2 linked regions of the Xenopus tropicalis genome follow. Each later gene encodes a partner of the first gene's protein in a complex. Links are inferred from orthologs where the notes say so. Each region holds a gene or a part of one and is shown in the gene's direction. Other genes may lie near its edges.

The links.
Region 2: the proteins of stat2 (region 1) and irf9 are in contact, whole or in part, in a crystal structure (PDB 5OEN), measured with the Mus musculus proteins. The link is inferred for Xenopus tropicalis from reciprocal best matches to the Homo sapiens genes STAT2 and IRF9. Residues at the interface, in NP_064347.1 of Mus musculus: Arg163, Gln164, Lys166, Asp167, Glu168, Asp170, Val171, Phe174, Arg175, Thr177, Val178, Phe179, Leu181, Lys182, Asp188, His190, Gln191, Gln193, Gln194, Leu197, Thr201, Lys204, Met208; in NP_032420.1 of Mus musculus: Leu206, Leu208, Tyr212, Leu233, Asp234, Arg236, Ser244, Glu245, Ser246, Ser247, Met248, Asp270, Arg271, Leu274, Val275, Ala276, Asn278, Ser279, Arg280, Phe283, Val284, Gln285, Leu287, Cys313, Glu315.

What each region holds. Positions count from the first base shown.
Region 1 is NC_030678.2:138,423,863-138,427,690, reverse strand, and holds part of stat2 (signal transducer and activator of transcription 2), read left to right. Parts: intron 1-1,681; coding exon 1,682-1,818; intron 1,819-2,257; coding exon 2,258-2,446; intron 2,447-3,600; coding exon 3,601-3,655; intron 3,656-3,828. UniProt on the Homo sapiens protein: Signal transducer and activator of transcription that mediates signaling by type I interferons (IFN-alpha and IFN-beta).
Region 2 is NC_030677.2:139,348,117-139,351,944, reverse strand, and holds part of irf9 (interferon regulatory factor 9), read left to right. Parts: intron 1-161; coding exon 162-277; intron 278-3,828.

The sequences.
Region 1 (3,828 bases):
TTCATGGTGCATCAGCAGATAAGGAAGTTTAGAAAAGCCGCAGCTTCTCTCCCCTTCCTGCTGTCCTGATGTTTGTACTGTTTGCTGTGGACTGACTGGTAGTAGAAATGTGCAAGTCTTACTTTACTTTATTTAAAGCAAACTGTACAGTCTATTTGAAGATTTGTCCAAATTTGACCTTAAGGGCTCTGGCACACGGGGAGATCAGTCATCCGCGACAAATCTCCTGTGTCTCGGGCGACTAATCTCCCCGGATTGCCATCCCACTGGCGAAAATGTAAATCACCGGTGGGATGGCATACGCGGCGGCGCAATTTCCGCCGTGTATGCCATCCCACCGGCGATTTACATTTTCGCCGGTGGGATGGCAATCCGGGGAGATTAGTCGCCCGCGAACAGGGAGTTTTGTTGCGGGCGACTAATCTCCCCGTGTGCCAGAGCCTTAAAGATTGGCCCAGATATTCCTGGATAAGACAGTACATTCCTAGATTGCTTCCATAAATCCAATTAACTCCCTAGAATAATAATGAGTCCAGAACAGAATTTTCAATTCTGTTGTTAATAAATAGAGAAATAATAAAACACTTCTGTTAAGGTTCCAATCTCATATAATGTCCTACTCTAAATAAATTATTAAAGAGTTTGACCTTCTCCTCAGCTGGATCAGGTGGATTTTGCTCCTGGCACTCTTCTAGGTGTATTCAAACGTAGGTCTTCCCTCTGAGAGTCTCCTCCCTTTCACCATCTCCTTCTCAGCATCTGTCTGTCTCTTCATATTCTCTTCTGGCAGGAGTCAGAAGTCTGATTTTGATTGACAGATCTAATATATCTTTTAGGGGGCTTCCTGATTTATTGTCTTGTATTACAGCTCACTCAAATAACTGATTCAAGCAAATAGAAAATCTTACCCTGTTGGGAACAAATCACTTACATGAACATGATATATGTATTTATTTGAACATAATAGCAAAACATACGACATGTCTGCTAAGACTGTAGTGGAAAGACACATGACCATTTGAAATACTCAACAACTTTTCACAGTCTACAGTGAGCTCTAATTCATCTTCTAGGCTAAAGGAACACCCCTCAAAGGCTAGATTACACCCAACTGTCAATCAAAATCTCACTCCATCTCCTGCATGAAGAGAAAATGAAGACAGATGCTGAGAGGAGGGTAGTGAAAAGTAACAGTACAGACTTTTTAATTAGATTATTCTTATTTCAGTATGCTGAAGCTTATATTAAATTTTCATTTTTGCGGTAGTTCCCCTTTAGGAAAGAAGTCGGTGCAGAAGAACAGTTCCTTCTCCTGTCCTTTAACCCTTTCTCTAGTAGGGCATGATTCCCATTCATTTGACTGGGAACCAGAAACACTGTTACTGTGCCATTGAAATAGAAAGGTTTAAATGTATGTTATTAGCAGACTTCACTGTATCTTATCACGAGTATTAGGAAACCTAGAAAAGCAAATAAAAATGTAATGTTATTCTGAAATAAGGTCAATAAACAGACTTGCTGCGATTAACTGTTTTCTGTAACTTTATTACATATTTATGCCCAGGAGCAGTAACCCATAAGCAAGTAGAAGTTATTGGTTACCTGTTTGAAAGCAAACATCTTAGTGGTTGCTATGGGTTTCTGCTCCTGGGTAACTATAATGTGCACACTGTATTTGCAGGCACGTGATGGGATTTGTAAGTCGCAAGAAAGAAGAGATTCTGCTAAAGGCCGAGATATCAGGCACTTTTCTCCTTCGCTTTAGTGAGAGCATTTGTGGTGGGATCACGTGCACCTGGGTGGAACAGCATGAAGATGGTAGGTTAAATAATGGCATGCAGAAAGGATAGTATAGTCACTCTGGCTTAGCAGCACATAATTGGCACCTGGGAGCATCCATATATGTTTCAGATATCATGCACCATGTGATAACAACATTGATCTTAGCTTGATTGGCATGCATGTAACGCTTTCTTTCCATATTTGCATGAAAAGTGTCATAGACTTACACAATATTGCACAATATTCATCAGAGTATGCTAAACTGACCTATTGGTAACAACAGCAGGATGCTAAGGGGATTGTATTGGCACAAGTTGCTTTTTAATAGCTTTTAAAGGTGCAAATTTTAGTGTTCTCAATGGCCATTTTCTGTAGCATATATTTACTGGATTTCAGCCAAATGATTTACATTTAATGCTATACACAACAAAGCTCTTTCTACAAATACCCGTTTTATTGTGTGTTCTGCCCATAGGAACCTACACTATCCGTTCTGTCCAACCATACACCAAGAAGGAACTCTCTTCCATCCCACTCACTGAGATCATCCGGAACTATCAGCTTTTGGCTGAGGAAAACATTCCTGAGAATCCTCTGAAGTATCGGTACCCTAACATACCCAAGGATGAGGCTTTTGGTCCATATTACGAGAAAAGGCCTGAACGTGAGTATATTGAGAGGAAATCTATACTCGTTTAGCACTCAGTACCTTTAACAATTAGGGCTCTGGCACACAGGGAGATTAGTCGCCCGTGACAAATCTCCCTGTTAGCGGGCGACTAATCTCCCCAAAATGCCATCCTACCGGCGAAAATGTAAATCGCCAGTGGGATGGCATATGCGGCGGCGTATGTTTCCTCTCAAGGCAAGCCCCTTGAGTCGCCCGCGAACAGGGAGATTTGTCGCGGGCGACTAATCTCCCCGTGTGCCAGAGCCCTTAGACTCAATTAGACTTTTCCACACACCAGATTGCTCTCTTGATTATGTTAAGTGATGCAGTCTCTGTCCATTGCATAGGCACAAGGCACAGTGCACTGTCGCAGTGTCTTTTAAAACATGTAAATGGTATTAGTGCTATGGCAACATGAGCAGAACAAATATCAACATTTTAAAAGAATAAGCAGCATTCATTAAGTGGGTACAAACAACTCCTCCCCAAACACTTTTATACTTTTTTTTACAGGGCAGTTTACAGTTCTTCAGAGAGCTAAAAAGTGCATCCCTGTAACTGCTTTGCTAGTCCACATTGACCCTTTGGTACATCCCTAATAATACAAATTAGACATGAACAAAAACATAAAGTGATGTCATGCAATCCAGTGACATCATATTAGACTTAAATCAGAGGTAAAATGCAAAACTTGCAAGTGTACTGGCCCGTATCTTCTATTTGGCAGTATAAAGAAACACAGTAGTTACAAGATCCAGGTGCTACAGACATAGAGTAATTATTGTGCTAAGTGATGACTCCCCTTTCACTTTAGTGACAGGTTAAGCCTTTTGTTAATTTCTGTGGACTTTTAATACTTATCAGTTTGCACCAGATTTACTCGAACTGCTATTAAACATTTTTCCCATTGCCACTGCGAGGTGTCATGTGGCATGTTGCTGGTTTTCTGCATGCAGCATTAGAATGCAGATATGTGGTGTATAATGTAATATTACTAGTTTCTCTGTATATGCAGTAGTAGGATGTGAGTATTATTATTGTAGCTCTGTATGTGCAGGTGTATGCTCTGTATATATGTCCAGATGTATTGGTGAGCAAAAATAAGCACCCGGCAGGAAATATTCATGTTTTTCCTCTTTCTTTTAAAGTAACCCTGCAATATGAGCAGTACCTCCAGCGCAAACTGATTATTGTCTCTACAAGGTAAGGCAACCACAATGGCTAAGGCTCTTTTCAATAACTGCCTGTTTTCAAATCTTATTTCTCTTTGTTAAATATGTACTCTAAATAGTCTTTATAACAGTGTTTGTGTATCTGCTATTTGCACTATTTGTTAACTGGTTATGCTATAGGCAGGTCTGTAATAGGAGTCAAAA
Region 2 (3,828 bases), on another chromosome or scaffold:
ATCATGTAGAAGTATTTTGTTTACTGCTATAGTGCACCATGAGGAATATACAAGCAAAATTAGTGCTACACAGCAGGAGTTTCCATTATGATTTAAATAGATATATGGAATTATTGTAAAGCATATTTGCTGCATTTCTTTTTTTCCAATGTCCCTTTTAGATCTGGAGCAATACAAAACAGAAGGTGGAATGCCCCCCAGTTATGAAGTTACCTTATGCTTTGGGGAGGAAATCTCAGAGCATGAGTCTCTTACTAACAAACTAATTGTAGCACAGGTGAGAATTTAAACTGTATATTTACATTTTATTCCATTTGTTTAGTATATGTGTTGATGCAAGAAATGTAACTTCATTCTTTTATTACTTTCTAAAACGTACATGCTAAACTTTGTTTTTTTGGATGTTTCAGAACTACAGCTGTAGGCAGTATTGGCCTTCTACCTTCTCCCTCAGGCTTAAAGGGGACTCTCTACTCCAAAAAAGTGGATTTGGTGCATCGAATCCACTTTTTTGGATTCGGCCGAATACCAAACCAGATCCTAATTAGCATATGGTAATTAGGTTTGGGGGAAAAAATTAAATTTCCTTGTTTACGTGAAAAAAGTCCATGTGATTTTTCAGTTCAACCAGGACCCGTGGACTTGGCTGAATTCGAATCCTGCCGAAAAAGACTGAATCTTGGCCGAATCCTCAATTCAGTGCACCCCTAATATAAATTATATAAATTGTGTTTCCCTCAGTCTTGGAAGTCACAATCACATCAAGCAGGCATGTTCCATTTAGTGATCACTGGTACTAAGAGAGCTTTGCATCATCCTAAAATCTTGCTACACAATTATAGGCCATTAGTAGAGAGGGGGAATAAGAGGAAAGCAGGGACATCTAGGAAGTGCAGAGTTGAAAGTGAAAGTAATTGCCTGCCCCGCTTCTATGCCTGAGGCAGGGAAGGCAAAATATGATTGACAGCTGAGATTTCTAAATAAAATAAAGTTTATAACAGGTATGGATGTTTTTTTTAAAAAAAAAATAGAATTTGGGTTTCATATTTATTTTAAAAATGACTTTAATTATACAGCTTTTTATGTGTGGTAGATAGGTCCCCTTTAACCAACTTGTCTGATAGATTACTGACAATGCTCAGATGCTGTTTCAGAGCAAACTTGTTAATTTAAAACTTTGTTTAATTAATACATTTGCCTTGTCTCAGACAATATAAAAGTACACCATCCCACTTGCTGATCTGTTTTAGACTAAAACATGACACCCAACTTATGATCACTTAATCACTCAATTTATTTTAATGTATGCATATAAATAGATATACATACATGTGCCTTTTTGATGTTTAAACTGTAAGAATCTTAAGATATCTCAAAAAACAAATTCTACCTTAGTGTTGTGATGGCTGTGTTCTGAACACTAACATTGAATGATGGTAGATACAGCGAGGAACATAAATATTTGAACACCCTGCAATTTTGCAAGTTCTCCCACTTAGAAATCATGGCGGGGTCTGAAATTCACATTGTAGGTGCATTCCCACTGTGAGAGACAGCATTTAAAAAAAAAATTCAGGAAATCACATTGTATGATTTTTAAAGAATGTATTTGTATTCCACTGCTGCACATAAGTATTTGAACACCTGAGAAAATCAGTGTTAATATTTGGTACAGAAGCCTTTGTTTGCAATTGCAGAGGTTAAATGTTTCCTGTAGTTCTTGACCAGGTTTGCACACACTGCAACAGGGATTTTGGCCCACTCCTCCACACAGATCTCCTCTAAATCTGTCAGGTTTCGTGGCTGTCGCTGAGCAACACAGAGTTTCAGCTCCCTCCAAAGATTTTCTATTGGATTTAGGTCTGGAGACTGTGGCTAGGCCACTCCAGAACCTTGATATGCCTCTTACGGAGCCACTCCTTGGTTATCCTGGCTGTGTGCTTCGGGTCATTGTCATGTTGGAAGACCCAGCCACGACCCATCTTCAATGCTCTGACTGAGGGAAGGAGGTTGTTGCTCAAAATCTCACAATACATGGCCCCATTCACCCTCTCCTTAATACAGTGCAGTAGTCCTGTCTCCTTCACAGAAAGGCACCCCCAAAGCATGATGTTACCACCCCCATGCTTCACAGTAGGGATGGTGTTTTTGGGATGCAACTCATCCTTATTTTTCCTCCAAACACGGTGAGTGAAGTTTAGACCAAAAAGTTCTACTTTGGTCTCATCTGACTACATGACTTTCTCCCATGCCTCCTCTGGATCATCTAGATGGTCATTGGCAAAATTCAGACAGACCTGGACATGTGATGACTTGAGCAGGGGAACCTTTCCGTGCAATGCATGATTTGAAACCATGGCAGCTTAGTGTTCTACTGACAGTGACCTTTAAAACTGTGGTCCCAGCTCTCTTCATGTCATTGACCAGCATCTCCCTTGTAGTTCTGGGCTGATTCCTCACCTTTCTTATCATCAGTGATACCCCACGAGGTGAGATCTTGCATGGAGCCCCAGTCCTAGGGAGACTGACAGTCGTCTTTAGCCTCTTCCATTTTCTAACAATTGCTCCAACAGTTTTCACCAAGCTGCTTGGCAATTGCCCTGTGCCCTTTCCAGCCTTGTGGAGGTCCACAATTGTGTCTCTGGTGTCTTTTGGCAGCTCTTTGGTTTTGCCCATGGTAGTAGTTGGAGTCTGACTGACTGTGGGGTGGACAGGTGTCTTTAAAGAGCTCAGACAGGTGCTATTAATTTAGATTAATGAGTGGAGTAGAGGTGCACTCTACTCCAGGCAGAATAACAGGTATTTGAGAACCAGAATTCTTGCTGATTGCCAGGTGTTCAAATACTTATGTGCAGCAGTGCAACACAAATACATTATTTAAAAATCATACAATGTGATTTCCTGAATTTTTTGTTTAAATGCTGTCTCTCACAGTGGGAATGCACCTACAATGTGAATTTCAGACCCCGCCATGATTTCTAAGTGGGAGAACTTGCAAAATTGCAGGGTGTTCAAATACTTATGTTCCTCACTGTATATTTAAAAAACACAATGTTTTTGTATGATGTCATATTGCTTGTCTTGGTCTTGTTATTCTTTCCAGACTATAAAAGAACAATATTATTTTATGACCTATAGATCATGTTGTAGACTGCTATACTATAAATATGCTATATGCATGGCACACAGCATATTCAAAGCTTATAAACCCATGTTGTTCCCCCCCACCCCTTTAATTTTTAATATGTTATGGAATGTCCTATTCAACTTTGCAATTGGTCTTCATTACTTTTTTTTTTATTCATGTTGTTGTCATGTCAAGGCCAAGTAAGAACAAAAATAAAACATGTTGACCAGTAGCACAGAAACAAGCCAACTTACTGATAATAGGGAGACAAAAAGTCTAGGTAATTTTGTAGACAACTAAACTTGTACAGAATATGTTATACCCTTTTTCTTTTTGATTATAAACCACTGCCTTCTCTGCCTCCTGTATGACAGCATTTTAATGTAATCTGTATGTTTATATATGAACACTTCTGTTGTACAGGACTGAGAAAAACATTAGTACTTTGAAATGCTTCTGTTTATTGAAAAACCTGGGCTACATTGGTTGCTCTGGTACGTGCATAGAAGGGTATTAAGTAAGGACTTTTTTTTGTCATTGTTAATCATAAAAAATAAGGTGAAGGGTGCAAAGCTTCAGAGTGCCACAGTGGCACCAGACCCTAATGATACTGGCCAGTTACCGTATTTATATCAGAGAGAAAAGTATAAAGTATCTTCTAAGAAAGAAAGCACAAGGTGTCTACCACCCACATTCAATAA